3 linked regions of the Anolis sagrei genome follow. The protein of the gene in region 3 purifies or fractionates together with the protein of the main gene of each other region. This does not show direct contact. Links are inferred from orthologs where the notes say so. Each region holds a gene or a part of one and is shown on either strand. Other genes may lie near its edges.

Evidence for each region.
Region 1: the proteins of ARID4A (region 3) and SAP30 purify together in Homo sapiens (affinity purification with mass spectrometry; 5 studies listed by BioGRID and IntAct, with this or other methods). This does not show direct contact. The link is inferred for Anolis sagrei from reciprocal best matches to the Homo sapiens genes ARID4A and SAP30.
Region 2: the proteins of ARID4A (region 3) and BRMS1 purify together in Homo sapiens (affinity purification with western blotting; 3 studies listed by BioGRID and IntAct, with this or other methods). This does not show direct contact. The link is inferred for Anolis sagrei from reciprocal best matches to the Homo sapiens genes ARID4A and BRMS1.

The regions. Positions count from the first base shown.
Region 1 is NC_090025.1:60,583,097-60,594,145, forward strand, and holds the start of SAP30 (histone deacetylase complex subunit SAP30), read left to right. Parts: upstream 1-6,866; 5' UTR 6,867-7,094; coding exon 7,095-7,505; intron 7,506-11,049. UniProt on the Homo sapiens protein: Involved in the functional recruitment of the Sin3-histone deacetylase complex (HDAC) to a specific subset of N-CoR corepressor complexes. Capable of transcription repression by N-CoR.
Region 2 is NC_090032.1:9,014,699-9,025,433, forward strand, and holds the start of BRMS1 (breast cancer metastasis-suppressor 1), read left to right. Parts: upstream 1-5,283; 5' UTR 5,284-5,440; intron 5,441-9,255; exon of another isoform or gene 9,256-9,278; 5' UTR 9,279-9,284; coding exon 9,285-9,411; intron 9,412-9,547; coding exon 9,548-9,638; intron 9,639-10,735. UniProt on the Homo sapiens protein: Transcriptional repressor. Down-regulates transcription activation by NF-kappa-B by promoting the deacetylation of RELA at 'Lys-310'. Promotes HDAC1 binding to promoter regions.
Region 3 is NC_090021.1:334,654,295-334,665,410, forward strand, and holds the start of ARID4A (AT-rich interactive domain-containing protein 4A), read right to left. Parts: upstream 4,068-11,116; 5' UTR 3,943-4,067; intron 1-3,942.

The sequences.
Region 1 (11,049 bases), on a different chromosome or scaffold from region 3:
AACTAGACTTAATGTCAAGGGGAAACCTTTACCTTTAAGCTTTAAGAGTAATCACAGTAGTATATGATGTGACTCCTAATGTCTCCAGCTGCTGATAATCATAAGTATAAAGCCACTGAAAATAGCAGTTAGGCTGCTGGCACTAACAGTACTTGACAGAAAATATAGCTGGAGGGAATTTTAAGTACAACTTCATCATATATAAAATATGTGAACATAAAATGTACTGCAGGGCTGATAGACATCATAACTGCATTAGCACAAATGCAAAAAAATCGTCAATTTTCCAATTTACTTTGTAGGAATGCCCACTAGCTGTAAAAAGAAAGTGGTTCTATAAATGTTAAAATCTGTGATTGTTAAACTTCAAGTGATACACCTCATGTTTTGGTTTTCTCCTTTGACTAAAAGTGCATAAATTGCTCATGTGCAAATTTCCTGCTTTTAACTGTATTTTTTGGGGCTCCAAGACTACTAAGTTGCACACATTTTCTGTTGCATAAGCTTGTCTACTTCCAAGTAAACATGCAGAGTGTCAAACTGCATATATTACAGTGTGTTGTTGAATCGGGTAATTCATTTAAGGCCAACCAAAAAAGCTCAATATGCAAGCTTTCAAAGGTACTAGCCAGGACAGATGCTGCAAAAGGTGAAAAGAGGGAGCAATATTGTTACAACATGAACATGTACATTATCTTATTATTCTTTGACCTAGGTTCAATTGTTAGTCTCAAATGGTTCCATTCATTCATGCTATTGAACAAATGGAATTTATATGAGTGTAAATTCACATTTCAGCAATTGATTCAAAAGTACTATATATACTTAAGCATAAGCCAATCCTAATATATGACAAGGCACCTAACTTTACCACAAAAACCTGAGAAAACGTATAAGCCAAGGGTAGAAAATGCAACAGCTACTGGTAAATTTCAAAATAAAAATAGATACCAATAAAATTACATTTATTGAGGCATCAGTAGGTTAAATGTTTCTGAATATTTGCATAAAACTATAATTTAAGATAAGACTGTCCAGCTCTGATGATGATGATGATAATAATAATAATAAACCATTATTCTAACCTCCTTCAATGTAAATGTGCTAAAGTATCCTTCCAATATTAATAGAGTAAAATAATGTAATAAAATAATTGAAATATAATAACAGTAATAACAGAGTAAATTAATTAATGTAATAATGACAACAATAATAAATAGAGTAAAATAATAAATGCAATAATAAGAGTAAATTAATGTAAATGTAATAATAATAATAATAATAATAATAATAATAATAATAGAGTAAAATAATAAATAACTTTGACTTGAGTACAAGCTGAGGAGGGCTTTTTCAACTTAAAAAAGGGCTGAAAAACTAGGTTTATATTCGAGTATATACAGTATACTTTAGTTAGGAATTGTATTAGAAAATAGGATTAAAACAGTGCTGCCTATGCTATCAGGTGTAGGAAACCAGCAATTTCCTCTCAATTTGGCTACAGTTCTTCCCCCCCCCCCCCCTGTAAATTCCTAAGTATTAGCAGCTGGTGGATAATGAACTACACTGGTTAAATGATCATTACTTGCATAAAGCATCCCAAGGCCCAGCAGCCTTTATTACACAGCCAGAAAGATTGTTACCAGAGAAGGTAGCAACTCTGTTCAAGCCTGAGAATATCACAAGAAGATGTAACTAACTATAATGACCATAATTTGTTGTTGCACCCCCCTTCTCTTTTTTTGTTCTGTAACATTTGTGAAGTCCAGAAGTTACAATAAAATTGTAACTTTTTTGCCAGGGCTTTCTCCTCTCTCTACGCATATCCTTCAAATTACAATAAATGTTCATTTGTAAAAATAAAATATATTTAATTATGCATATATATATATTGAAATCTAACACAAGTCTATGGTTTGCATCGTTGTTTTAGTGGGCTAAACTTGCCATAAGTAAGTTGAGTAAGAGACATCTGCAACTTTTTGAATCAGACAAGAGGTAACTAAGGATAAGCCTACAGTTCCAGTAATAACGTTAAAAGTAAAACATGAAAAATTGTATGCAAAAATATTTAAAAGCAAGTTATTTAAAATATGTTACCCGTATTTTGTATATTTGGTATGATAAATACAGTCAACCTTCCATATCCACGGGTTCCGCGTTAATGCATTCAACTAACCGTGGCTCCAAAATACTCAGACCTTCATTCTGATTTATGCTTCCATTTAAATAGCCTCTTCAGTCATATAGCTGTAATATTTTTAAAAGAAAAAAAAGGCTCTAATATTAGAAATGCAAAAACTGTTATCTTACAGCAAACCATTGAGAACTCAGGGCCCTCCCACAGAGCCATATAACTCAGAATATCTGTTTTGAACTGGAATGTCTGAGTCCACGCTGTCATATATCCCAATTCAAAGCAGATAATGTGGGATTTTATTCAGCTGTGTGGAAGGAACCCAGATCATCTGGATTTTATATGGCAGCTTGAAATGGGGATTTTAGAGCCCTTCCGCACAGCCATATAACCCAGAATATCAAGGCAGATAATCCACAATATAGCTGTGTGGAAGGGCCCTCGGGAAGAGTGAGGGCCCCTTGGAGCATTTTATTCACTAGTCAAAAATCCAGGTGCTGAAGGGAAGACCACAAAAAGTACAGTACAATCCCATCTTATGTTTACGAGATACATTCCTAGACTTTATATGGATATTTAAAATCACAGAAAATAACAAATTATTAATTTTTTGTGGAGTGGATGATGAAAGTACTGAAATCATGTAGTTTATACAGGTGATCTGAACTTAGTAAGTGAAATTGTGGATGAGTGTAATAGTGTATATGGTTCTGAGGATACAAAACGTTGTCCTGTATCTATATACAATAGCAATCTCTTCCCTTTTCCGCTCCACAGCAAAAGAAGCCCACTTACTCAATACTGGAGGTAGACTACTACCCGATTGGGGCACTAAGTTTAAGATAACATTGTATTGTCTTAGAGGTTGTGTAAACACACTCCCTAATGCAGCTAATAATTTTCTAAGGACCCTTCCACACAGTCATATATCCTCGAATATCAAAGCAGATAATCCACAATTTCTGCTTTGAACTGGATTATCTGAGTCCACACTCAGATAATGTGGGGTTTTCTGCCTTGATATTCTGGGATATAGAGCTGTGTGAAAGGTCCCTCTGCCCACTTGCAGCTTTCACTTTTGACTTGGGGCCCTTCCACACAGCCATATAACCCAGAATAGAAAAGAAGATAATCCACAATATCTGTTTTGAACTGGATTATCTGAGTCCACAATGCCATATAATCCAGTTTAATGTGGATTTTAGCTGTGTGGAAGGAGCCTTGATCAATGAGGAGCAAATCAGTTGTTGCGCAGTAGGTGAACTCAATGCCTATCCAACAATCTAGTTGCCTGATAGGAAATTTCCACAACTGTGGTGTAACTGTTCTGATATGTTTTTTTCTGCTTTTGTAAAACCATACAGAATCTAGGCTGGGAGATATAATTATATAACTATCCTTTTTTGTTTGTCTTCCAGCCATTTCCAACTTACAGGGATCTTATCACAGAGTTTTCTTGGTAAGATTTGTTAAGAAATAATTTTCCTTATGTCTTCCTCTGTGGCAGAGGGACTATGGTTAGCTCAAGGTCATCCTGTTGGGTTCCTGTGGCTGATCGGGTATTCAGCCATGATCATAGTTGTAATCCAATGTCCAAACCACAACACCATGCAGCTCTCACTAGTATTGACCTAGGACCCTTCCACACAGCCCTATATCCCAGAATATCAAGACAGAAAATTCCACAATATCTGCTTTGAACTGGAATATATGACAGTGTGGACTCAGATAACCCAGTTCAAAGCAGATATTGTGGGATTTTCTGGCTTGATATTCTGGGATATAGGGCTGTGTGGAAGGGGCCTATGTTGCAGGAACAGCTCCTTTTGTCTCTATGGAATCTTCTGTTATTGAAATTTGTGAACCAGCTGTTTCCCTTCTGCAGGACTATCCATTTTCCGGAGCTGGTAATTACAGTTGGCCCATGGTATCCACTGGGGTTTGGTTCCAAGTAACACACACACGCCACGGATATCAAAATATGTGGGTGCTCAAATCCCATTATCTAAAATGACATGGTAAAATGACATTAATTTAATAAAATGGCAAATAACTCAAACAAGTGTTGAGGATCTGTGAAATGACAGGAGGTTACAAGAGAATATGCCTATACATTACCATGGTGCTTCGCATGTGGCAAAATCAAAATGTTGATTATTGGATTTCCCTCCCTGAATATGTTATAATTGAATCTGTTAGTGCAGAATTTCTGAATACAGTGGGACAACTGCGTGTCCACCTCCATCATGTGCTTTCCTAAGCTAAACAGCTTTGCAATGTTGTAAGCAAACGTTTAATTTCCTTGCACCACAGAAGGAAGAGGATTGTCTTGAGCAATACAAAAATACACTAACAATAGCTGATGAGAAAAAAAGCTCTGTGCATAATTTTTAGTGATATCTGCCACCACAGGTAAGAAAACATTTAAAAGGGTCTTTTAAATTTGTCAAGTAGGTCTTCCTGCCAAATTGCTTATGATTGTACAGGCAGTCCCTGAGTTACAAACATCTAACTTACAAAGAACGGGGATGAGACAACAGGAAATGAGAAAATCTACCCTCAGGAAGAAATAGCCACCCCTGAGTTATCATGGGAGGAAAGGGTCTCTACTGAAGCTTTATCACCAATCCCTGTGAGCCTCCAGTGGCGCAGTGGATTAAACCCCTGTGCTGGCAGGACTAAAGACCGACAGGTTGCAGGTTCAAATCCGGGGAGAGACGGATGAGCTCCTTCTATCAGCTCCAGCTCCTCATTTGGGGACATGAGAGAAGCCTCCCACAAGGATGATAAAAACATCAAATCATCCGGGTATCCCCTGGGCAAAGTCCTTGCAGAAGGCCAATTCTCTCACACCAGAAGCGACTTGCAGTTTCTCAAGTCGCTCCTGACACGACAAAAAAATAAATAAATCCCTGTTTCCACAACAAGCCTGTTGGAAATAGTAACCTTCTCAAGCCTCCACTAGTTACGTGTTATATATATAGCTAGCTGTCCCGTGTCATGCTTTGCTGTGGCCCAGTCTGTGTATATGTGTTTTGTGTGTGTATATATGTGTATATATGTGTGTGTGTTTGCATATATACACACACACACGTGTGCACGTGTGTACATATATGTGTGTGTGTATATATGTACATATGTGTATTTTTGTGTGTTTATATGTGTGTATGCATGTGTATATGTGTGTGCATGCGTATATGTGTGTATGTATGCGTGCATGTGTTTATGTATATGCACCTTCCTCTTGGCACGTTTCTCTCTTTTACCCTCCATTTGTGCCTCTTCAAATTCTGCAGCACTGCTGGTCACAGCTGACCTCCAGCTGGAGTGCTCAAGGGCCAGGGCTTCCCAGTTCCCAGAGTCTATGACAGAGTTTTTAAAGTTGGCTTTGAGCCATCTTTAAATCTCTTTTTAAAGGGGCAATGCCAGCTAGCTTGTAGAGTTTATCAACAGGTGTAGGTTTAAGACAGGGGTCCTCAAACTAAGGCCCGGATATAGCTCTCCAAGGTCATTTACCCGGCCCTCGTTCAGGGTCAACCTAAGTCTGAAACAACTTGAAAGCACACAACAACAACAATCCTATCTCATCAGCCAAAAGCAGGCCCACACTTCCCATTGAAATACTAATAAGTTTATATTTGTTAAAATTGTTCTTCATTTTAATTATTGTATTGTTTTAAGTGATTTTTGCACAACAAATAAGATATGTGCAGTGTGCATAGGAATTAATTCATTTTTTTTTTCAAATGATAATCCGGCCCTCCAACAGTTTGCGGGACTGTGACCTGGCCCTCTGTTTAAAAAGTTTGTTGACCCCTGGTTTAAGACATCCTGTGATTATTCTGCAAGTTTCATTCAATGCTATGTTCACCTGCTTTGCATGGGCAGACCTATGCCAAACAGGGCAGGCATACTCAGCAGTTGAGTAAGACAAGGCCAGGGCTGATGTTCTTATTAATTTTGGGTCTGCACCCCATGTGCTGCCAGTAAGTTTCCACAGGATGTTATTGCATTCAGCTGGAGGTCAGCCGTGACCAGCAGTGCTGCAGAATTTGAAGAGGCACGAATGGAGGGTGAAAGAGAGAAACGTGCCAGGAGGAAGGCCGTTGAGCCAACCCCGGCCGAGACCGCCTTCCACCTGGAAACCAACGCCTTCACTGTGGGAGAAGATGCAGGTCAAGAATAGGGCTCCACAGTCACCTATGGACCCACAAGAATACTGATCCTGGGAGACTATCCTTCTCGTCTAAGTAAGTAAGCTGGGGAGGGGGGGGGCACGCCAAGAGGAGTGGTGGTTCTCATAAAGGAGTTGGCTAGGCTTTGCATTGCAATGGGAGAGAGCAGTCTTTTCCAACTTCCCGCTTTCAAAGCCTCCCCCCCTTTCCAAAAAAAAACCGGTCGCATGAGAGGAAGAGAAGGAGGGGGAGGGTCTGAAGCTCAGACGTCACGAGGCATTTACTTAAATGGCATCCGAGCGAAGGTTTCAAAAACCGGTGAGGAGAAAAAAAGGGAAGCGGGTCACGTGTCCTTCGCAAGCCTTGCCTGCCTGCCTGCGCGCGCGCAAACAAGCCCGCTTTGTAAATACACCACCACACTGAGGCGGCGGAGGAGTTCCTTTTTTTTCTACATCTCGCAAAGCGTTGCATTCTGGGATTGGTAGTCCTGAAAGGCGTCTAATCCCTTCTGCAAAAACAGAGACAGGAACTACGTTTCCCATGAGCGCATAGCGAGAATTCGAAAGGGGAGGGGGGAAAGAAAGAGGAGAGAGAGGAAAACAGAGCCAGCTCTACCGGGGTTTAGTGTTGTTGCTGCTGCAATGGGGAGAGGAGTGCTGGAAAGTGCCGCGCGGTGCCCCAAGGGGTGATTGATATCCCTCCGACGAAGCCGGGAAAGGGAATGCGGTGGGTCTCGCCTTGAGCAAGCAAGCAGCACCAACACACGCCTTCCCCCGTATTGAATGACTTTACTGTCGAAACACAGCGCGGAGATGAATGGCTTCGGGCCCGACGACGTGGCCCGAGGAGGAGGAGGAGGAGGGCCAGGAGAAGCCCCGCTCCCCGCCTTGGTTGCCAATGCCGGGGAAGCCCTTCCTCTGCCGCCGCCACCTCCTCCTCCTCCGTTGCCCCTTCCTCCACCTCCTCCTCCGCCCGGGCTGGGCATGGCCTCCTCCTCGGTGGCCTCCTCTTCCTCCTCTCCGTCTGCTTCTTCGGGGGCGGCTCCGGCTGGCTCGGGCCCCGGGGCGGGCCAAGTGTGCTGCCTGAGGGAGGAAGGCGAGCGGTGCGGGCGGGCGGCGGGCAACGCCAGCTTCAGCAAGCGCATCCAGAAGAGCATCTCCCAGAAGAAGGTCAAGATCGAGCTGGACAAGAGCGTGAGTCTTGGCTTTCATGGCTGGAATCACTGGGTTTTTCGGTTGTTCTAGAAGCATGCTCTCCTGACGTTTCGCCTGAGGCTGAGGCTTGAGGCTTGCCATAGATGTAGGCGAAACGTCAGGAGAGCATGCTTCTAGAACATGGTCAGGAAAAGAGAGTTATTGTGCCTGCCTGCCCTCCTTTGCAGACTTTGCTTTGATCTCCTCCCACCCACTTTTGACTTGTTCCCCTTGAAGTTTGCTTTTTCCCCCAACTCTTTCGACTTGGATTGGTCATTTTTGCAGCCTGCTTTGCCTTATATGCTGCTTAGACTTTGTCTTGTTTGTCTTCCACTTTGCATTGTTTTCTCCACTTTGCATTGTTTTTTTCTCCACTTTGCATTGTTTTTTTCTCCACTTTGCATTGTTTTTCTCCTTGCTTTTGCGTTTACTGCACGGCCTTCTTTCTATTTTTGGGCAGTTTGCACTGCCTCCCCCCCCCCCCCTACTGTTATATTCCTGACAGGCCCTATTATCCCAGGATCTGATCCCAAGTTTCCAGATTTTCTGCTTTAAACTGGATTATATGTGTCCGCACTGCATGATAATTGGTGGCACTCTGAGTGTACAGTGTATCTGGCAGCGCCCACTCATATAATCCACTTTAAAGCAAAAATACTTGTGATCAGTTCCTAAGATAAAGGGCCTGTCTGGAAGGGCCTTGAGTCTGTATCTACGCCGCCCTATATCCCAGGATCTGATCCCAAATTTTCTGTTTATCCTGGCTTATCTGGCAGTGTGAACTCATATAATCCAGTTTAAAGCAGAAAACCTGAGACCAGATCCTGGGATAAAGGGCTGGCCTAGAAGGGCCCTAAGGCTGAATCTACACTTCCCCATATCCCAGGGTCTGATCCCAGGTTTACTGTTTATCCCAGATTATCTGGCAGTGTGGACTCATAGTCCAGTTTAAAGCAGAAAACCTGGGGTCAGATTCTGAGAGGTAGGCCTGTCTGGAAGGGCCCTCAGGTCCCGCTTCTACACTGCCACATACAATCCAGATTATCCTAACTGGATTATATGTCTCTACACTGCCATATGATCCAGTTCAAAGCACAGCATCTGGATTTTATGTGTCTGCTCTTGAAATTTTCATTGCATTTTCTTTGCACTTCTTATTGCCTTTCACTGCTTACTTTAATCCCATCTGCACTGGCCAATAACTGTTGGAAACTGCATAGACAATGAGAGATCATTACTGGGCCTCTGGTTGAGAACTATCTCACACCTTGGCTTTGTTGGTCCGTGTTGGCCCAATTACCACCACTGGCCATACAACCAGTCTTGTTAAGTTGCAATGTTGTTTTTGTGTTGTGGGTTTCTCTGAGGTTGTAATGCTGGGACTTGCTTGTTTTATGAATGTATGTTGGAATCCGCCTGAGCGGACGGAATATAAATAAAGTTTTATTATTTTCTTATTTATACCAGGCATGGGCAAACTTTGGCCCTCCAGGTGTTTGGACTCCAACTCCCACAATTCCTAACAGCCAGTAGGCTGTTAGGAATTGTGGGAGTTGGAGTCCAAACACCTGGATGGCCAAAGTTTGCCCATGCCTGGTATACAGTCATTATTTGAGTCTACACTCACTCAATGCAATTTCCAACTATATTATTTGGCACTATGGAGGGGGCCATTGTCTTGTTCTTTGTGCAGTTTCGCAGTCTTCCTCCCATCGCCTTGTTTCTCCTTGAAGTTTGCCTTGCCTCATTCTCCTTGCCTTTGCGGCTCTTTTCTCCTTGCAAAAAACAAGTGTGCAAAGCCATCCGCCTGTTCCCTTTCTCTCTCTGTCTCTCACTTCCCGCCCTCCTCCTTCATGTCTCAGGACGGCAAAGAAGTGCAGACAGGAAGGCAACAAAAGCCATCCCGCCACAATGGAGGAAGGAGAGAGACAGAGAGAGATTCCCCTTTCCAAGGGGGGTCCTTTCTCCAGATCTGAGGTGTTTCGATCCCAATCCCGATGACTTTTTGTTGTCCCATTTCCCTCCACAGTCTCCTTCCACTTCATTCCTTGAGAGGGAAACAGAGATGCAGCAAAGGAATGAGGAGTTTGGCAGATAGGATCCCCCAAAGCTTGGGGCAAATCTCATTCCGCATCCGGCTGTTTATGTCTGACGCGGCAAAAACCTGCTCTTTGTCATCTTCTCTCCCTCCTTGATGGCATTGCTACTTTGATGTTATTTTGCTTTTTTCTTGCTCTCATAGGCTGCCTCTACCTTTCATAATTGAAACACCCTAATGCCTTAATATAATGGAGTTGTAATTTTGCAAGGTCTGCAGCCTTCTCTCGCCGTACATTCCACAAAGTGATGTTAAAACTACATTCATTCCTCACTGTGTTATTTTGTCTGAAGACCAAAGCATCTCAACCTCTCCTTTCTCTTTGCAGACAGTGTTATACATACAACACATACACACACACATATATATGGCTTTCATGGCGTGCTTCTGTTTTCCTGCTCCGCCTCGTGCTGCTGCTGCAGTGTTTGCACGTCCGTCCCACCCGCATCGTCTCTTCTCTCTCCCCTTTTGGCAGCCATCAAGCCCTTCTTCCAGCACTTCATTTAAGCCCCGCCACTAAAAGCCAGGTCTCCCCGCCTTCCACTGGTGGTTTTGCTCCTTTTAAGACATATATAAAGCAGAGAAACACTCCTAAATGCAACAGACACGTTCCCAGAGTCAGGGCACGTGAACCTGCGGAGTACCCGCCTGCTTGGCTTATGCTTATGCATGGCCTTTATGCGGAAGGAAAGGCTGGTGTTTGAATACTTTGTGCTTGCAAAGCCAGAACAAAACAAGTCTTGTGGTTGCCTGGCTTTGGAAGCACATTTGGAGAGGTTTGGGGATCATTGGCACACAAATCATGCCGCATTTGCATACAGTGGGATTAGGTTCATTAGGCTGTGTCTATACTGTTTGTTTGTTTTTTCTTGTGTAAGGAGTGACTTGAGAAACTGCAAGTCGCTTCTGGTGTGAAATAATTGGCTGTTGACATTGCCCAGGGGACACCAGGATGTTTTATCATCCTTGTGGGAGGATTCTCCCATTTCCCTGCATGGGGAGCTAGAGCTGACAGAGGGAGCTCATCTATGCTCTTCCTGGATCCGACCTGTCGATCTTCAGTCCTGCTGGCACAAGAGTTTAACTCATTGCACCACTGGGGGCTCTGATGTCTATACTGTTGATTTGATGCAGTTTGACACTGCTGTAACTCCCTTATGGAATCCTGGGAACTTGTAGTTTGTTGTGGCACCAGCACTCTTTGGCAGAGAAGGCTAGAGTACCTTGTAAAACTACAACTCCAGGGATTCTGTAGCCTTGAACCTTGGCCATTCAAGTGGTGTCAGTCTCAGATCTTCATTGAAGATAGTGGTTTTGCTGTACAGAAATCCTGGAACCAGTTTGTGGCCTGGATGGTGATAACACAAACCACAGAGCACATTAAGGGCTTTCTTTTACATGCTTTTGTGGAAGTTTGTTGTCTGGCCACAGCAGCTTGAAGCTGGC
Region 2 (10,735 bases), on a different chromosome or scaffold from region 3:
TGAGAGGAGACATGATAGCCATATATAAATATGTAAGAGGAAGTCACAGGGAGGAGGGAGCAAGCTTGTTTTCTGCTTCCCTGGAGACTAGGACACAGAACAATAGCTTCAAACTACAAGAAAGGAGATTCCATCTGAACATGAGGAAGAACTTCCTGACTGTGAGAGCTGTTCAGCAGTGGAACTCTCTGCCCTGGAGTGTGGTGGAGGCTCCTTCTTTGGAAGCTTTTAAACAGAGGTTGGATGGCCATCTGTCAGGGGTGATTTGAATGCAATATTCCTGCTTCTTGGCAGAATGGGGTTGGACTGGATGGCCCATGAGGTCTCTTCCAACTCTAGGATTCTATGATTCTATGCAGGTAGTCTTTGTTGAAAACCTATATCAATGGGGATTTGCCTTAGGAAATGAACTTCCCAAGGCTGGTGTCTCGCTGGGGTCACGAAAGGGTGGCTTCCCATATTTCATATACAGACACATACATAAGGGAGATACATAAGGGATAATGAAGCATAAAGGAATTTCATAATACACCATCCCACCCACCAGAGTCCAAAAGAATAAGTTCATAAGCACAAAATAATATCATCCCTTAATCATGAAAGGAAGTCCACGGGGCTTGGAGGGAAGTTCCAGAAAGTTTTCAAAAGTTCTTGGAAGTTTGGGAAAGTTGATCAAAGTTGTAAAATCCAGAAAAGGCAAGTGGGGAAAGGTGTCCCTGTGTCCACAGAGTCCTTATGAGCTGACTGCCAACGTTGAAGATCGAGATCCGCGGAGAGAACCACAGATCCCTCCATACCAAGGACCAGGGCAGCCCGCCGACATCTTGGGGATCCTATGGGTTGACCGTGACAGTTTCCCAGGAACAGCAGGATCCTTGGACATCCACAAAATGGTGGCAACGAGGCAACATCTTTGGAAAAACAGCTGGGCTCCAGGATGTGGTTTTGGGGACAAAAAGGTTATTCCCGGGGTGGAGGGTGCAGCGGAGCGAAACCAAGATAGCCATTAGTCTTGGAATTCTCCCAGGAAAAGAATGACACCATTTGACTCGCGGATACGGGGGCCCGAGGGGTTTCCATATCCGCGGTTTAAAGGAATGCAGTTTCGGCCTCCCGGGGACGCGAAAATCGCATCCTAGGAGGGCCGGCAGTCATCTGCATCTGGAGAAGAAAGTTTTATGGAAAGAGAGGTTTCTCTTTAATAAGGACTGAGTGGGATAGATATAATGATGATAATGTTGTTGTTCATTCGTTCAGTCGTCTCCGACTCTTCGTGACCTCATAGACCAGCCTACGCCAGAGCTCCCTGTCGGCCGTTACCACCCCCAGCTCCCTCAAGGTCAGTCCAGTCACTTCAAGGATGCCATCCATCCATCTTGCCCTTGGTCGGCCCCTCTTCCTTTTGCCTTCCACTTTCCCCAGCATAATTGTCTTCTCTAGGCTTTCCTGTCTCCTCATGATGTGGCCAAAGTACTTCAACTTTGTCTCTAGTATCTTTCCCTCCAGTGAGCAGTTGGGCTTTATTTCCTGGAGGATGGACTGGTTGGATCTTCTCGCAGTCCAAGGCACTCTCAGCACTTTCCTCCAACACCACAGCTCAAAAGCATCGATCTTCCTTCGCTCAGCCTTCCCTAAGGTCCAGCTCTCACATCCGTAGGTGACGACAGGGAAGACCATGGCTTTGACTAGGCAATGGATCTTGGTTGCCAGTCTGATGTCTCTACTCTTCACTATTTTATCGAGACTGGACATTGCTCTCCTCCCAAGAAGTAAGCGTCTTCTGATTTCCTGGCCACAGTCTGCATCTGCAGTAATCTTTGCACCTAGAAATACAAAGTCTGTCACGGCCTCCACGGTTTCTCCCTCTATTTTCCAGTTGTCAATAATTCTTGTTGCCATAATCTTGGTTTTTTTGACGTTTAGCTGCAACCCGGCTTTTGCGCTTTCTTCTTTCACCTTGATTAGAAGGCTCCTCAGCTCCTCCTCGCTTTCGGCCATCAGAGTGGTGTCATCTGCATATCTGAGGTTGTTAATGTTTCTTCCAGCAATTTTCACCCCAGCTTTGCATTCATCCAGCCCCGCACATCCTCGCATGATGTGTTCTGCATACAAGTTAAAAAGGTTGGGTGAGAGGATGCAGCCTTGCCGGACGCCTTTCCCAATCTTGAACCAGTCTGTTGTTCCGTGGTCAGTTCTGACTGTTGCTACTTGGTCCTTGTACAGATTCCTCAGGAGAGAGGGAAGGGGGCTTGGGATGCCCATCCCACCAAGAACTTGCCACAATTTATTATGATCCACACAGTCAAAGGCTTTAGAATAGTCAATGAAGCAGAAGTAGATGTTTTTCTGAAACTCCCTGCCTTGATGATAATAACAACTGATAATAACAATAAGTTACCAAGTTTGGTCCAGAGACACCAAGCCCTATAGATACAAACCAACCAACCAACATATATACAGACTTTTATAGAGAGAGATCATGCAGGGAAACAGTACAAAATTATTCTTCAGGAAAGCAGAAGGGTATGACTACAACACTTTCTTTTTTTTCTGGAAGACTTTTTAAAAAGAAAATTTTTAAGACTGAGACAGAAGGGGGTGATTATTTATTTTAACATCTTATGGGCAAAGCCTCCAAAAAAAATATTCCTAGAGCATACCTGGCACCGTTCTAGCCTATAGGCTCCCTCGAGTGGCTGCATCTGAACATTGCAGCGTAAATCTCCCATTTTCTGGGGTGTTGTGTGGTTTTCGGGCTGTATGGTCATGTTCTAGCAGCATTTTCTCCTGGTGTTTCGCCTACATCTGAGGCGGGCACCTTCAGGTGATCCGATCTATATAAATAAAAATGTAATGTACGTTTGTGAGATTAACATAACTCCAAAACCACTGGACGAATTGACACCAAATTTGGACACAAGACACCTAACAACCCAATGTATGTCCTTCACATGTACATTTAATGAAGCTTTTATGCCCTATGTTTCATATATAGCAGAAGGTAACAGGTTTATTACTGAGAAACCACCTCCCGTTACACTTATGTACTCTCTTGAACTTCTATGGGACTCTATATTGACAAGCTGGAATGTGTCCAGAGGAGGGCGACTAAAATGATCAAGGCTCTGGAGAACAAGCCCTATGAGGAGCAGCTTAAGGAGCTGGGCATGTTTAGCCTGAAGAAGAGAAGGCTGAGAGGGGATATGATAGCCATGTATAAATATGTGAGAGGAAGTCACAGGGAGGAGGGAGCAAGCTTGTTTTCTGCTTCCTTGGAGACTAGGACACGGAACAATGGCTTCAAACTACATCTGAACATGAGGAAGAATTTCCTGACTGTAAGAGCCGTTCAGCAGTGGAACTCTCTGCCCCGGAGTGTGGTGGAGGCTCCTTCTTTGGAAGCTTTTAAACAGAGGCTGGATGGCCATCTGTCAGGGGTGATTTGAATGCAATATTCCTGCATCTTGGCAGAATGGGGTTGGACTGGATGGCCCAGGAGGTCTCTTCCAACTCTTTGATTCTATGATTCTATGATTCTGGTGGGAGGGATAAGTGGGTATGTTTTCTGTATGATGATTTCTATATTTCTATATTTCTCCCTGTGTACCTTACCTTTTCCTGACCCTTTTGCCCAATTCCCCTTTATCGAAAAAATGTATAAAAATATAAGAAGCAACCCTGTGACCCTGGAAAGGAGGAAATCCTCAGTTGAAAAAGAACCTTATCAAAAGACATTTCTTACATGGAAAATAACAATGAATCGTGACCCCTGGGCCACGTAGTTGCCCCCCCCCCCCCCAAGGGAGGCGGTCGCTTGACATTAATGATCCTATCTCAATAGGACAAAGGAAGCCTTTGGAAAGCCACCCTTTGTCCTGATCTGTTACTCATTTAAATCTCCTTCCATTGAAATTTCAGCCAAAATTCCCTCATTGTTTCTATATCTCAGCACCCAGAAAATCCAAATCTGGCAGGCTTGCCAGACATTGACATTTATTACAGCCAATCAAAGACAATAGGAAAGGCTGGCTCGCAGGCCCCCAGGACTCGCTGGCTGCTTGGACATTTCCTATCTTCAATAATAATAATAATAATAATAATAATAATAATAATATTACAATATTGCTTTCTCTCTTTTCAGAGAGAAAAAGCAAGATATAAATAAATATAATATAATAAATATAATATTTGTTTTAATAAGAATAATATAATGCGCATACGATACTTATGTATGTTAATATTATCTCAGGGCATTATTTCATATTATGTTATTATTATTTGAAATAACATAATATAATATATTATTATAATAAATAACAATACAAAAATATATTATCATAGAATCATATATTATATTTATTATATTATTATTTATTATACTACATTATATTACATTATTTCAAATAATAATAACATAATCTGATATTATAATATTATATCAAAATATTATAATAATATAATATTATATTATTATAATAAATAATATAAAATATATTATCATAGAATCATATATTTATTATATTATTATTTATTATACTACACTATAATATATTATATATTATGCTACATTATACTATATTAAAATTACTTCAAATAATAATAAAATAATCTGATATTATAATATTATATCATAATACTATAATAACATAATATAATATATTATTATAATAAATAACAATACAAAAATATATTATCATAGAATCATATATTATATTTATTATATTATTATTTATTATACTACATTATATTATGTTATTTCAAATAATAACATAATCCGAAATAATGCACTGAGATATTAACACACATAACTTTCGTATGTGCATTATATTATTAATAAGTCATTATTAATAATATATTATTAAATTATTATTATTAAAACAAATATTTATTTATATTTATATTTATAATAAATAAAAATATAATAATTGTATTATTATACTATATTATTATTCATAGAATCATAGATCAAAGAGTTGGATATATTGTTATATTGTATTATTCTAATAATAATATAATAAATATATTATTCTAATAATAATATAATAAATATATTATTTTATTTTATATTTTATATTTTATATTTTTTGTATTTTATTTTATATTTTATATTTTTGTATTATATTTTATATTTTATTTTATTTTATTTTATTTTATTTTATTTTATTTTATTTTTTGTCCCAGAAAAAAACTGGCTGGGCCTGTTTTGTTTCCTTTCTGCTTCGTTGCTATGGAAACTGTCCGCCTTCCGCTTCCGCCTGCCCACAATTCTACGCGAAGGACCCCAGAGTTGTGAGCGAAGTGCAGTGGATGGCGTTATCGTTTCGCAAGGCAAAGTCCGCTGTGATTGGCTAGCGCCGGTGGGCGGAGCCAAGCGGAGCCGACTTCCGATTGCTGCGGGAGCCCTGAGCGGCGTTTGCGTCCTCCTCGGCTCCTCCCCCAGGTAATAAGGGGTCCCGGCTATTTTCCCCATCACCCCCCTTTTTATCGGTGAAGTTGGTATCGTCCATTCCAGCCTTATCCATTTCCCAATGAGAAAGCCAAGGGCCAGTCCATTACAACTCGGACAAAGGGGGGTTTATATATGTGTATGGCTATAATACTACTACACTCTTCCCCCTTTGAAATGTTTAATGGTTTGTTCCTCCAGGACAATCCTAGGAGAAGTTGGACGAGTCCATTGAAATCAGGGGGAGGATACTGATTATTTTGAATGGTGGGCAATGCAGGACCTTCCAGATCTTCAGGACTTCTGTTCTTATCACTTTTTGCTAAGGCTCACTCTTTGTTATGGTTGATGGGAGATGTAGTTCAGTGGCATCTGGGAGGCCAGTTTAAACCTCTCCAAGTTAAGGGAGAATACATATTTCAGTTCCTATTCAGGTATATAAATGCAGTATTTCTTTGGGAGCTCAAATAGGCTAGTTGAGAAACTACAAGTCGCTTCTGGTGTGAGAGAATTGGCCATCTGCAAGGACGTTGCCCAGGGGACACCCAGAAGATTTGATCATCCTTGTGGGAGGCTTCTCTCATGTCCCCGCATGAGGAGCTGGAGCTGATAGAGGGAGCTCATCCGCCTCTCCCTGGATTCGATCCTGCGACCTGTCAGTCTTCAATCCTGCCGGCACAGGGGTTTAACCCAATAAACAATGATGATAATGGTTTACAATATGTAAAATAATCCTGCAAGTCATTAAAAGTTGGAGATGAATAATTTAAATATCTTTAAATATGTTTAAAATAATTTAAATATATATATATAGAGAGAGAGAGAATATCTATATCAGTTTGACTTCTCATATTATTTCAACGTATGCAGAATAAATCCTGCAGGTCATTAAAAAAGCTGGAAATGAGTATTATTATTATTAATAATAACAGCAAATCATGCGATGTGCGGGGCTTGATGAATGCAAAGCTGGGGTGAAAATTGCTGGAGGAAACATTAACAACCTCAGATATGCAGATGACACCACTCTGATGGCCGAAAGCGAGGAGGAGCTGAGGAGCCTTCTAATCAAGGTGAAAGAAGAAAGCGCAAAAGCTGGGTTGCAGCTAAACATCAAAAAAACCAAGATTATGGCAACAAGAGTGATTGACAACTGGGAAATAGAGGGAGAAATCGTGGAGGCCATGACAGACTTTGTATTTCTAGGCGCAAAGATGACTGCAGATGCAGACTGTGGCCAGGAAATCAGGAGACGCTTCCTTCTTGGGAGGAGAGCAATGTCCAGTCTCGACAAAATAGTCAAGAGTAGAGACATCAGACTGGCAACCAAGATCCATTGCCTAGTCAAAGCCATGGTCTTCCCTGTAGTCACCTACGGATGTGAGAGCTGGACCTTAGGGAAGGCTGAGCGAAGGAAGATCGATGCTTTTGAGCTGTGGTGTTGGAGGAAAGTGCTGAGAGTGCCTTGGACTGCGAGAAGATCCAACCAGTCCATCCTCCAGGAAATAAAGCCCGGCTGCTCATTGGAAGGAAGGAGACTAGAGACAAAGTTGAAGTCCTTTGGCCACATCATGAGAAGACAGCAAAGCCTAGAGAAGACAATGATACTGGGGAAAGTGGAAGGCAAAAGGAAGAGGGGCCGACCAAGGGCAAGATGGGTGGATGGCATCCTTGAAGCGACTGGACTGACCTTGAAGGAGCTGGGGGTGGTGACGGCCGACAGGGAGCTCTGGCGTGGACTGGTCCATGAGGTCATGAAGAGTCGGAGACGACTGAACGAATGAACAACAACAACAGCAAATCAATATTAATATTATATTTATATTATTAAAATAATATGCAATGCCACTCTTTAATAACTTTTAAGAATAATAATGATTTACAAATAAAATGTATTATGTTTTTAAAATATTTAAAACATAATAACAATAATAATAATAATAATAATAATAATAACTAGCCTGAAAAAGTTACACATCAAGCTACTCTAAGACTTCTGGATTCAGACAGACAGAGTTTTGGAGCACAATACTCCTGACCTCACGATTATGGGAAAAAACAGTATAGATCGATGTTGCAATCCCAGGCGACAGCAGGATAATAATAATAATAATAATAATAATAATAATAATAATAATAATAATAATGCTTTATTTATACCCCGCCACCATCTCCCCCAACGGGGACTCGGAGCGGCTTACATGGGGCCAAGCCCGAACAACAAATTACAATACAAAAATACAAATTGCATTAAAATAAACAACATAACAATAAAATATAAAACATCAAAGCATATAGATAGTATACACAGAAATAGAAACCAAACATAATGACTAAGAGAGGATTGATGAGAAGCAACTGGAAAAGCTGACACGATACAAGGATTTAAAGATCGAGCTGCAAAGACTCTGGCACAAGCCAGACAAGGTGGTCCCAGTGGTGATCGGCACACTGGGTGCAGTGCCTAAAGACCTTGGCCTGCACTTAAAAACAATTGGCGCTGACAAAATTGCCACCTGCCAGCTGCAAAAGGCCACCCTACTGGGATCTGCATGCATTATTTGCCGATACATCACACAGTCCTAGACACTTGGGAAATGTCCGACGTGTGATCCAATACAACAGTCAGCAGTGTGGTCTTGTTTGCTGTGTACTAATCTTGTTGTGTATCAAATAATAATAATAATAATAATATTGACAAAATCACTGTCAACTGCAAAAGGCGACCTTACTTGGATCTGTGCGCATCATTCGAAAATATATCATACAGTCCTAGACGCTTGGGAAGTGTTCGACTTGTGATTTTGTGATACGAAATCCAGCATAGAGATCTCATTTGCTGTGACATACTGTGCTTTTGTGTCGATAAAGTAATAATCATTTCTCTGCATGGCGGAATAGGGCTGGACTGGATGGCCCCTTGAGGTCTCTTCCAATTTTGGAGTCTATGATATAAATTATTATTATTATTATTATTATTATTATTCATCTGCACATCAGAGTAGGGCTGGATTGGATGGCCCCTTGTCTCTTCCAATTTTGGAGTCTATGATATAAATTATTATTATTATTATTATTATTATTATTATTATTAATCTACACAGCAGAATAGGGCTGGATTGGATGGCCCCTTGAGATCTCTTCCAATTTTGGAGTCTATGATATAAATACTAATAATAATAATAATAATAATAATAATGATAATAATTCATGTGCACAGCAGAATAGGGCCCTTTGAGGTCTCTTCCAATTTTGGAGTTTATGATACAAATAATAATAATAATAATAATAATAATAATAATTCATGTTCACAGCAGAATAGGGCTGGACTGGATGGCCCGTTGAGGTCTCTTCCAATATTGGAGTCTATGATATAAATACTAATACTAATTATTATTATTATTATTATTATTATTATTCATGTTCACAGCAGAATAGGGCTGGACTGGATGGCCCGTTGAGGTCTCTTCCAATATTGGAATCTATGATATAAATAATAACAATAATAATAATAATTCATCTGCACAGGAGAATAGGGCTGGACTGAATGGCCCTTTGAGGTCTCTTTCAATATTGGGAGTCTATGATATGAATACTAATAATAATAATAATAATAATAATTTCTCTGCACAGCAGAATAGGGTTGGATTGCATGCCCACTAAGGGTCCCTTCCAAGTTTAGGCTTCCAAGATCCAATATAGGCTGGATGGCCATCTGTCGGGAGGGCTTTGATTGTACCCTGATGCAGTTTGACTTTTGATAAATTGTAAATTTAATAAAAAAAATTTGGCCTTTTGTATTCCTCAAGCTGGTGTTGGCATCTCTCTCTAGAAGACCATGCCTGTGCAACCCTTGCCGAAGGAGATGGAGGTGGAAGGAGATTCGGCCGCAGAGATGAATGGAGAGGAAGAGAGCGAGGCTGACCACAGCGCTAGCCAGTCGGAGTCGGAAGAGGAGAGCTCAGGTCAGTCAGTGCCTGGGGTAGAAATATCACACATTTCGCCTTTCGGAGCGGTGGGTTCAAAGACCATTACCGTATACTTTGGGCTTCCTCCATGGCACACTCTGCCCATTGACTTGCATTGCTTTGCCCTTTGCAGAGATGGATGAGGAAGACTGCGAGCGGCGGCGCTTGGAGTGCCTCGAAGAAATGCTGGACCTGGAGAAGCAGTTTTCGCAGCTCAAAGAAGTGTAAGTTGCCAGCCACTTCACCCCCTTTGTTTTGACCCTCCCTTTCTCTCCCCATGGCATTATTACAATACATATCTCGCGCTCCCACCTTTTGGGGAAGATTGGTGGGGACGAGGGAAAGGGCCTTCTCGGTGGTGGCCCCCCGACTCTGGAACTCACTTCCCAAGGACATCAGGCATGCCTCAACTCTGGCAGCCTTTAGGAGGAGCCTGAAAACGTGGTTGTTCCAGTGTGACTTCCCAGAATAAGGAAAACTCTCAGCAGTATGCCCTCAAAATGCACTTTATTATGGATTTAGGACTGACTGTGTTCCCTCATCCTTCTTTGAAAAACTCTATCCCAGTTATATCCTACCTTGTTTGTTTTTTTTTGTTTTTTTGTTTTTTTTTATGTCGTGTTAGGGCAGCCAGTCAATTGTATTACATTTCTAACAGAACAAAACAAACAAACAGACAAAATACAAAATTTGCGAGTTTGGTAGTTGATTAAATGTCCTTTGACCAGTATCTGGCCACTTGGAGTGCCTCTGGTGTTGCCGCAAAAAGGTCCTCCATTGTGCATGTGGCAGGGCTCAGGTTGCATTGCAGCAGGTGGTCAGTGGTTTGCTCTTCTCCACACCCGCATGCCGAGGATTCTACTTTGTAGCCCCATTTCTGAAGGTTGGCTCTGCATCTCGTGGTGCCAGAGCGCAGTCTGTTCAGCGCCTTCCAAGTCGCCCAGTTTTCTGTGTGCCCAGGGGGAAGTCTCTCGTTTGGTATCAGCCATTGGTTGAGGTTCTGGGTTTGAGCCTGCCACTTTTGGACTCTCGCTTGCTGAGGTGTTCCAGCAAGTGTCTCTGTAGATCTTAGAAAACTATTTCTTGATTTAAGTCGATGATGTGCAGGCTGATACCCAAACGGGATGAGCTGGAGATGTCTCTGCCTTGGTCCTTTCACTATTGGCTGCTACTTCCCGGTAGATGTCAGGTGGTGCAATACCGTCTAAGCAGTGTAATTTCTCCAGTGGTGTAGGGCGCAGACTCCCCGTGATAATGTGGCCTGTCTCATTAAGAGCCACATCTACTGTTTTAGCGTGGTGAGATGTGTTCCACACTGGGC
Region 3 (11,116 bases):
GTGTACACAACACACACCCTGTGCATCTCTGAAACACCCACTCCAGGACTAACATGTTATTGAAAGGTTAAAGGAAAGCTCCAGAATGGCTAAACTGGGCTTTTGCAAGCTCTGGATAAAAAGCAGCTGAAGCCATCATCTTCTCTCTCTCTCGTATTCAACTTTGCATCCCTCAGTGTCAATCACTGCCACGGCCCTCTCCCTCTTTGCAACCTGTCAAGTAAAAGAGAAACACTACATGCATGCAGAAGACAGGCATTTCAGAGCAGGGTGGGAATCATGCAGTGCTGGAGTACAGTACTCATACTTCACCACTGGCTATACTGTCCAATGCTGCTGGGATTGCCATCCATTACTGCAGACACGGGCAAACTTTGGTCCTCCAGGTGTTGTGGAATTTAACTCACAGTATTCCTAACAACCGACTGTTGAAGTCCAAAATACCTGGAGGGCTGAAGTTTGCCCATGCCTACATTGCTATCTGGAGACAGCATGATTCCTGTCAATGTTCTAAGGTAAAAGGGAGAGATGTGATCGTGGAACTGAAACAAAATTACAGCCAGCACCTTCAGCCTCCCTATCAAATATCACAAATGCCAGGCCAAACATGCTCTCTGGGTAAGGAAGCTGATTTGTAAAGTGAAGACTAACAGGTCAGTTGCATGTGGACACACCCTCTATCACTATTTACTCAACTGTATACATGTGCAGGCAAAAGTACTTACAATGAGAACTCAGAGATGTGCAGTCCTCTGATTCCCTTCCTTACCAGAGTGCATACCAGTGGGCCCTTCAGTTCACAGCCCACCTCCAACCCCTACACGTTCCTCTTGACAAAACCTGCCCCTTTCCTTTCTAATCCACTTCCCCATATGCTTGTGCTTGCTTCCCTCGCCCCTCGACAAGCAAAAACAAGTTTCACGTGACTTTTTGAGAAACAGAAATCCTCGCCCTGGAGGTTCCTTTTCGCCCCTCATAAGGATGCCTCCTCCAGTCCAGTAATACTACTCTATACATGGAGCTACCTTGGAGAAAAACATATATGAGGTGACAGAGTAGCGAGGAGAGAAAAGTGGTCCATTTGGGAAATATTATCCCCAAAGAAAAGAGTCTGGTGGGTTGAAGTGTGTGTCGACAGCAAAGCACTCTAAAGTCCTGCCTGCCTCATGAATGCATTTATACTGATGAATGAATGCAGTTTGACACCGCTTTTAACTGGCATGGTTCAAAGCTATAGAATTCTGGGAGTTGACCTGAAGTGGAGCCCATCTAGATCAGGCATGGGCCAACTACCGGCTGTTAAGAATTGTGGGAGTTGGAGTACAAAGATCTGGAGGGCCCAAGCTGGCCCATGCCAGCTTCCACTACCTATGCTAGAGAACCTAGAGATTTGTTCTGTTTTGGTCAGACCTCACTTGGAATATAATGCCCAGAACTAGATACAGAATTACAGGTGAATATTCCTACTTAGTTCTGTTTTGGTCAGACCTCACTTGGAATGTAATGCCCAGAACTAGACACAGAATTCCAGGTGAGTATCCCTCTGTGTTCTGTTTTGGTCAGGTCTCACTAGGAATACAATCCCCAGAACTAGACACAGTATTCAAGGCGAGTATTCCTCCTCTGTTCTGTTTTGGTCAGACCTCAGTTGGAAATATAATGCCCGAAACTAGACACAGTATTCCAGGTGAGTTCTGATGCTGCCTAAAATCGCATTGGCCTTTTTAGCTGCTGCATCACACTGTTGACTCATGCTCAAGTTTGTGGCATAGCAAGACACCCAGATCCTTTTCACATAGATTGTTTTCAAGCCAGGTTTTCCCATCATTATCCGTACCTTCCATTTTTATTGCCAAAATGTAATATAGCAACTATAAAATATTATATAATACTATTATTATGAATGGTGTATTAGTACTATGCTAATGATATCATATGCTGTATGTACATATGACTTGTAAGCCGCTCTGAGTCCCCTTCAGGGTGAGAAGGGCGGCATATAAATGTCGTAAATAAATAATACAGTATATCTTTCCCTGTTGAAATTCAGTGTTGTTAGTTTTGTCCCAATTCTCCAATGTCATAAAGGCAGACACGGGCCAACTCGGGCCCTCTGGGTGTTTTGGACTTCAACTCCCACAATTCCTAACAGCCTATCGGCTGTTAGGAATTGTGGGAGTTGGAGTTCAAATCACCCAGAGAACCCGAGTTGGCTTAACAGAGCCTTAGAATCATAGAATCCTAGAGTTGGAAGAGACCTCATGGGCCATCCAGTCCAACCCCCTGCCAAGAAGCAGGAATATTGCATTTGAAGCACCCCTGAAAGATGGCCATCCAGTCTCTGTTTAAAAACCTCCAAAGAAGGAGCCTCCACCACACTCCGGGGCAGAGAGTTCCACTGCTGAACGGCTCTCACAGTCAGGAAGTTCTTCCTCATGTTCAGATGGAATCTCCTTTCTTGAAGTTTGAAGCCATTGTTCCGTGTCCTAGTTTGCAAGGAAGCAGAAAACAAGCTTGCTCCCTCCTCCCTGTGGCTTCCTCTCACATATTTATACATGGCTATCATATCTCCTCTCAGCCTTCTCTTCTTCAAGGTAAACATGCCCAGCTCCTTAAGCTGCTCCTCATAGGGCTTGTTCTCCAGACCCTTGATCCTTTTAGTCACCCTCCTCTGGACACATTCCGGGTTCAATTGTGGTGCCCAGAATTGGAATTAATGCTGTTTGACATCACTTTGACTCAATGCTATGGAATCACGTTGGAGCACTAGCGTTCCGTAGCCATGGCGACTGAAGCGGTGTCAAACAGCGTTAACTCCCGAGTATAGAGGCGAAGGGCTTTGATTCTCTCCTCGAAGTCTTAACTCAGTTTTGGACTCCAACTCCCACAATTCCTAACATCCTATTGGATGTATTAAACCAACTCAGGCTCTCTGGGTGTTTTGGACTGGATGTATTAAGCCGACTCGGGCCCTCTGGGTGTTTTGGACTCCAACTCCCACAATTCCTAACAGTCTGTCGCCTGTATTAAGCCGACTCGGGCCCTCTGGGTGTTTTGGACTCCAACTCCCACAATTCCTAACAGCCTATCGGCTGTATTAAGCCGACTCGGGCCCTCTGGGTGTTCTGGACTCCAACTCCCACAATTCCTACCGGCTGTTAGGAATTGTGGGAGTTGGAGTCCAAAACCCCCAGAGGGCCCAAGTCGGCTTAATACATCCAATAGGATGTTAGGAATTGTGGGATTTGGAATCCAAAACACCCAGAGGGCCCGGGTCGGCTTAATACAGTCGATAGGCTGTTAGGAATTGTGGGAGTTGGAATCCAAAACATTCCTAACAGCCAGCCGACTCGGGCCCTCTGGGTGTTTTGGACTCCAACTCCCACAATCCCTAACAGCCTACCGGCTGTTAGGAATTGTGGGAGTTGGAGTCCAAAATCCCCAGAGGGCCCGAGTCGGCTTAATACATCTAATAGGATGTTAGGAATTGTGGGAGTTGGAGTCCAAAGCACCCAGAGGTCCCCAGTCGGCTCAATACAGCCTTAATGCAGTTTGACATCACTTTGACTCAATGCTATGGAATCACGTTGGAGCCTCGGCGTTCCGTAGCCATGGCGACCGAAGCGGTGTCAAACTGCGTTAATTCCTGAGTGTAGAGGCGAAGGGGTCCGATTGTCTCCTCGAAGTCTCAACTCAGGATAAGTCGCACACAACTTGGGACGACGACACCTTGAGAACACAGAGATAATTGAGATGTTAAGTCAGAGAAGGTTATGAGGGCTAAAAGCGAATCAATCCCACGGTGTGGATGCGGTTCAGGCGAGGAAATAAGGAAAGGCCCCACTTCCACGCTTCGTGAGGGGATTTGGGAGTTTTTCCCCGCCTTCTCTCCTGGCTTCGGGCCCGGTCCCGTTTCCCTCAGAGGTAGGCCGCAAAACTCACCCCGGTCCCCGGTGGGCCACTCTTCCTTCCTCCTTCTTCCCCAACGAAGGGCGACGACGACAGAGGCAGGAGAAGAAGCGGCGGGGGCTGTTCCGCGCGGCTCCGCCTCCCCGCCCGCCCCCTTCCCCCGCAGCCCGCCCTCCTCCCTCCTTCCTGCCTTCCTTCCTCCTTCCCTTCTCTCGCTCTGACTGACTGACTCACCGACTTCCCCCTCAATAACAACGTGAGGAGCAGCGCGGCCTCTCATTGGCCCGCCGACGGCACGTGACGCGCTCGCGCTGGCTTCTCCTCCCCTATTGGCTTCTCCTCCCCTATTCTCCCTCGCTTCTCATTGGCTCCGGCTATCGAGGAGGCGATTGGGCCTCCTCGGTTCTATCGCTCCCGTTTCTATAAGTCTTATTGGCCCGTCTCCCTCCTCCTCTCCCATTGGTGGATTATATTCCCCCTCCCTTCTTGGATTGGCCCAGCGCTACAAAGCCCGCCTCCCTCCAATCGCGAAGGCTTTAAAAGGGAGTGAAGTCAAAGATTCCACACAGAGAAGGCCCCGCCTCTTTCTTCCCGCGACGCGATTGGGCAGGAGCTGAGAACGATGGCGTGAGGCGATTGGCTGGGGAGGAAAAGGGGGCGGGGCTGACTGGAGGTTTGTTTGTGGTGGCGAAGGAAGAATTCGCCCGGCGCCGACTGCGCAAGCGCCGACTTTAGAGCGGCCTGTGGTGGGGATTGCGGCCTCCCTCGGCCGCCATTTTGTGGTCTCCTCAGTCGCGGGCGGAAAAGGCCGCTCCTCAGTCACGGGCGGCGCGGTCTGGCCTCAGGTAATTGCGCTTTCCTTTTATACCCGCCGGGGAGGCGATTCCTAAGTGTAGGGATTCGTTTTTGATTGCGGTTTTGTTGTTTTGTGAGGGAAGCAGGAGGGGGAGGGGACCTCGACGACCGTTACCGGAAGGGGCGGTGCAAACAACCGGAAGTGGGTGTGACGTTAGAGCCGCCATTGTAGGGAGGAGCTTCCCTGTCACTTCCGCTTTCTCCCAAAAAGGGAAAGACGCTTGTCTTGTGGGTCGTTTACTTCCTTCTTAAAAAAAAACAACACATGAAATGAATGAATAACCTAAGAATTAATTTCTGAGAAGGAATATCTTGTTTCTGGATTGATCCCTTCATGGGCACACATCAGCGTCTGGGTTTGTTTATTTTTAAAATATTTATATTTATTATTATTTTATCATAGTTCAGTACATTTGTTATACATTGTTTATTTCACAGCAGATACATATTATTCAATACAACCCATTATTTACTTCCTTATTAAAAATACAACACATGAAATGAATGAATTACCTCAGATTGAATTTCTGAGAAGGAATATCTTGGTTCTGTATTGATTCTTCCCTTCATGAACACACGTCAGCATCTGGGTTTATTTACTTTTTAAAATATTTTTAATTATTTTATCATAGTTCAATACATTTGTTATACATTGTTTAATTTACAGAAGATGCATATTATTCAACTGTCACTCTGGGCCAGAGTGAAGAGAGGGGAGGCCAGGGGACAGCACCATCTTGTCTCCTGCATTTGCCATCCGTTGGGGACCCCTCCCCCCAGCACGAACTGCCGCTCTGGGCCAGAGCAAAGAAAGAGGGGCCAGGGGACAGTTCCACCTTGTCTCCTGTGCTATTCTAATAATATGTTATAATATAATATATTGTATATACATAATATTGTAATGTAATGCAATATAATACTAGTAATTGTTTTTAAATGCGTAATGATTTTGAATTCTGTATATCTAAACTGTTGTAAACCGCTCTGAGTCGCCTAAGGGCTGAGAAGAGCGGTATACAAATAAAGCAAATAAATAAATAAATAATTCAATACAACCTATTATTTATTTAATTACAACATTTATATGCCGCCCTTAATAATAATAATAAACTTTATTTGTACCCCACTACCATAACATATTACATGTATTATCAATAATACATGTAATATAAATGTATTATTATATTATCATATTATTAGTAGTATTATATTGCATTACATTGTTGTTGTTCATTTGTTCAGTCGTCTCCGACTCTTCGTGACCTCATGGACCAGCCCACACCAGAGCTCCCTGTCGGCCGTCACCACCCCCAGCTCCTTCAAGGTCAGTCCAGTCACTTCAAGGATGCCATCCATCCATCTTGCCCTTGGTCGGCCCCTTTTCCTTTTACCTTCCACTTTCCCCAGCATCATTGTCTTCTCCAGGCTTTGCTGTCTCCTCTTCAACTTTGTCTCTAGTATCCTTCCCTCCAATGAGCAGTTGGGCTTTATTTCCTGGAGGAAATAAATGAATGAATTGCCTCAGAATTAATTTCTGAGAAGGAATATCTTGTTTCTGAATTGATTCTTCCCTTCATGGGCACACATCAGTATCTGGGTTTATTTATTTTTAAAATATATTTAATTATTTTAATTCAAAGTGCTGGCTTTAGCCTTTAAAGCCCTAAACGGTTCTGGCCCGACCTACCTGTCCGAACATGTCTCCTCCTATGAACCAGTTAGGACGTTAAGATCATTTGGGGAGGGACTGCTAAATAAATAAAATAAATAAATAAATGCAGGATACAAGGTGGGTTGCTTTGAGTTTTCTGCACGGTACAACCATGTTCGAAAAACATTCTCTCCTGACGTTTCGTCCACATCTATGGCAGGCATCCTCAGAGGTTGTGAGGTCTGTTAGAAATTAGGCAAATGGGATTTATATATCTGTGGAATGTCCAGGGTGGGAGAAAGGACTTTTGTCTGCTGGAGCTAGGTGTGAATGTTGCAATTGGCCACCTGAATTAGCACTGTATGGCTTTGCAGCTTCTAATAAAAGTGTTCTTACCATACATCAAGGAACCACTTGACCACATCGGGAAGCTGATGAAGAAACACAACCTACCAACTATCTACAGACCCACTAAGAAAATCCAACAAATGCTACATTCAGCAAAGGACAAGAGGGATCCTCTCACCTCTGCAGGAGCTTACCGTATACCACCTGGACTTCATATTATTTGAGAATACAGAAATGCTGAACCACTGTAACAATTACCATGTCAGACAGCACAGAGAAGCTACTCAAATCAACAAGCATGTGGACAGTTTCAACAGAAAGGAGGAAACAATGAAAATGAACAAAATTTGGCTACCAGTATTAAAAACTCTAAAATCAGGACAGTAAATAAAGAGCCACACTCAGACGGAGAATTCCAGAGAAGAATCGATCAGGGCCGGCTAACACCCCCTCAGGCAGTAACCGGTCAAGCTTTGAAGCTGCAAGGCTATTCAGTGCTAATCAAGGTGTCCAATTGCAACATTCCCACAAACCTCAAGCAGGCACAAGTTCTTTCTCCCACCCTGAATATTCCACAGATATATAAACACCACTTGCCCAGTTGCCAACAGACCTCACAGCCTCTGAGGATGCCTGCCATAGATGTGGGTAAAACGGTAGGAGAGAATTCTTCTGGAACATGGCCATACAGCTCGGAAAACTCACAGCAACCCAGTGATTCTGGCCATGAAAGCCTTCAACAACAGAGACATATTGGCAGCCAGCACAGGTGCTGTAACAGGTGCTACGCTCCCTGGGTCCAGCACCTGTCAATAACCTTGCTGCAGGTCTCTGAACTAGTATGAGTTTCTAGGCACTTTTCAAGGGCATCCCAAGTAGACATAGCACACATGACGCCTGCACTACACCGTGTAAGACATCCCTCTTGCCCACATCCTACACTAAAGTCAACCCTTACCTCATACACCCTGCATCTTGACTTCCATCCCTCATCATTGTGGTGCCCATAACATGATTTATTTACCCTTCTGTCATGTTTGCCCATACATTCCTCCTGGGACTATTTATCGTTCACTTCTTTGACTCTCCTTCCAGATATGCCATTGCCCATTTCCATCTCTTTAGGAACTCTTGATTTTGCTCACCAAGTTAATAATAATTTTATTTATTACTCACCTCTCCTTATGGCTCAAGGTGGGCTACAAAACAATTAAAATGTATAATCACAGCAAAAACACTACTAATACCCACACTAAAATGTAGCTCCATAAAGTATCTCTATGAAATACACATTAAAACAGACAAAATACAGATTGAACAAAGGACAAGCATTCAAATTCATGTTTAAAGACTGTCTGGGTAGGCCTCCCAGAAGAGACAGGTCTTTGCTTGTGTCTGTCTTAGCTATCAAGAGTTCTACCACAGGTCATTCCACAGCCCTGGGGCAGCCGATATCTTGGTCATTTGCTTGTAATCCATTAGTTTGTCTTTCCAATCTTTCTTAGTTAACACTTTTTCCCCTTTCTGATTCCTAGCAATTATCATTCTTGCTGCTGCAAAACTGTATTAGGCTATTTCTTTATCATTCTGATGGAAGTCTTCCCTAAATAATCCCAGCAAAGACATTCCTGATTTTTTTACCTTATTGCATAACGTTTTGATTCCTTAGTTACTTTACACCAAAATCCTTCTCACCTGATTTGTCTATTTTTGCAATAACTGGTGTTGTATAACTTCTATAAAATATTTTGTATACATTTTCCCTAATTTACTTAAAAAGCCAAAAAAATAAATAAATAGTAAAACGCATGCACAAAACCACATATATACAGTACAGCGCACGTAGTTTTGTGCATGCGTTGTACTGTATATATATATTTTTGCTTTTTAAGTCTCTTCTGCTGTGTTTTTCAGTGTTTTTATGAGTGACGGTCACTTGTTGGCCTGATAGGTGTATTGTGTCCAAATTTGTCCAGTGGTTTTTGAGTTATGTTAATCCCACAAATGAATATTACATTTTTATTTATATAGATAGACCAAACACACATATATTCACAAATACTGTATGCACACACACAAAGCCCATATACACAGACTGGTCCACAGCAACGCGTGGCAGGGACGGCTAGTATGTTCTAAAAGACCTGTGGATTAGCACAACTCTTCAGCTTAAAGTGTGTTTTCTCTTCACGCTTGCAAAGACATCATCTTCTTTCAGCCACAGCTATTTGTTTCTCAGGTTGTTGTCTCGGTTGTCCTCAAATTTTGATGTAAACTTGTTACTCAGAATTAATGATGCCATTTCCACAATAGTACTAAGGGGTAAGCCCTTCTGTTTTACCTTCAGTAAAGCATTCACAATATTGTTCCTACTGACCTCTGGATGTAGAACTTCTAGGATTTTCCAGAAGCCTTTCAAATTCAACATGTTGCGAAATGCAAACACACTACTGGATGGGAACGCCAGTATTTAATTCCTTTCCATAACTGATAAATCCTACAAATGAGGAATAACTATCAGCAAAAAGGGGGAATCACTATGCCTATCAAGTTAACTCCCAAGTATGTACATGTTCTTATAGTTATACTTTTACTGTTGGTAATTACTGGAAGTTTTTAGAGATATGTCAAAAACTCCTGTGAAGCTCCATCAACTAGAATCAATAAGTAGGAATTTATTACAACTAAATCCCATACAGGGAAGACAATATGATCCAAGATGTAAGTGCCTTGTTGCTGCTGTGTGCTTTTAAGTCGTTTTTGACTTATGGTGACCTTTGGGCGGTCATGGGTGAACTTCTGCCCTCCAGATGTTTTGGATTTCAAATCCCAGCAGCTGACTATTAGTAATTGCGGGAGTTGAAGTCCAAAGCACCTGGAGGGCCAAAATTTGCCAATGTCTGCTTAGAGTCACCCTATGTAGTTGTTGTTCCATAAAATATCAGGGATTTATTTGTTGGCAATCCTTTTGGTAAAGGTCCAGAGCTTCTGCAAGCGAGTTCTGCATCCGGAATGTCCACTTAAGAATTCTGTGCCCAAATTTATACTTTCCGCCAGCTTTGGTAATGTGGGGCAGGCTGTGTGGATTGACTGTTGTGGAGCTGATTCAGCTGTGTCTACACCAGGTTTGCGCGACCTGCCGTCCTCCAGGTGTTTTGGACTTCTGCTCCCAGAATTCCTGGACATTGAAACAGCTGGCTAGAGCTTCTGGGAGTTAGAGGCCCAAACACCTGGAGGCCTGATCTACACCCATCTAAGTGATCAGAATCAGACTTGGAAGAGGTTACAAGAGCTGTCCAGTCTAATCCTGCCATGCAGAAACACACAATCGGTCCTCCTGACTGATGACCATGCAGCCTCTGCTTAAAACCACCCAGAGAAGGAGACTCCATCAGAATATCCCATGCTTCAACAGCTCTTGCTGTCAGGAAGTTCTTCCTAAGGTTTAGAATGAATCTCTTTTTCTTTAGCTGGAATCCATTGCTCAATATACTCAGTATCTCTAGAACAGTGGTTTTCGTTGTTCTCAACCTGTGGGTCCCCAGATGTTTTGGCCTTCAACTCCTAGAAATCCCAGCCAGTCTACTAGCTGTTAGGATTTCTGGGAGTTGAAGGCCAAAACATCTGGGGACCCACAGGTTGGGAACAACGAAAAACTGCTCTAGAACAACAAAAAACAACACATACCCCCTCAATGTGATATCCTTTCAGATATTTAAATATGACTATCATGTCCCCTCTCAGTCTTTCTTTCTCCAAGCTAAACATAACCAGCTCCCTAAAATGTTCTTCACGGGGATTCCTGGTTTCTAGACCTTTGATCATTTTGGTCGTCCTTCTCTGGACACCTTCCAGTTTGTCAATATCCTTCTTGAAATGTCAGGCCCAGAACTGGATACAACATTCCAGGATGCAATATCCCCAAAATTACTTTCAGAAAGTGCTTTGTTTGAAATTTATGAGGGAAAACACTCCTGAATCGACTTTTTCCTCAAAAAAAAAAAAAAAGAAAAGAAAAAAAAGGGATGAACTAATTGGCACATTATCACAATTGTTCAGTTCCACCAGAAATAAAACAATTGTGACACATCCTGGGAAGCATGATGTTATTGTTCATGTCCATGTTTTTAGGCACACCCATCATACCATTCTCATGACAAACAAATTGGAATGGGGCGGGGAGATGATGCTCTTCCTTAATGTTAATCCTGATTCTGTCACCTAGGGCTGAAATATTTCCTATTTGTTTAGTGAAGTAACTAACTCTTCAGCCAAGAAAATCTCCAAGTACCACTTGTATACAATCAATAAAGAAAGAAAGCCCACAGTCTTAAAAGGGAAGCTTCATTATAG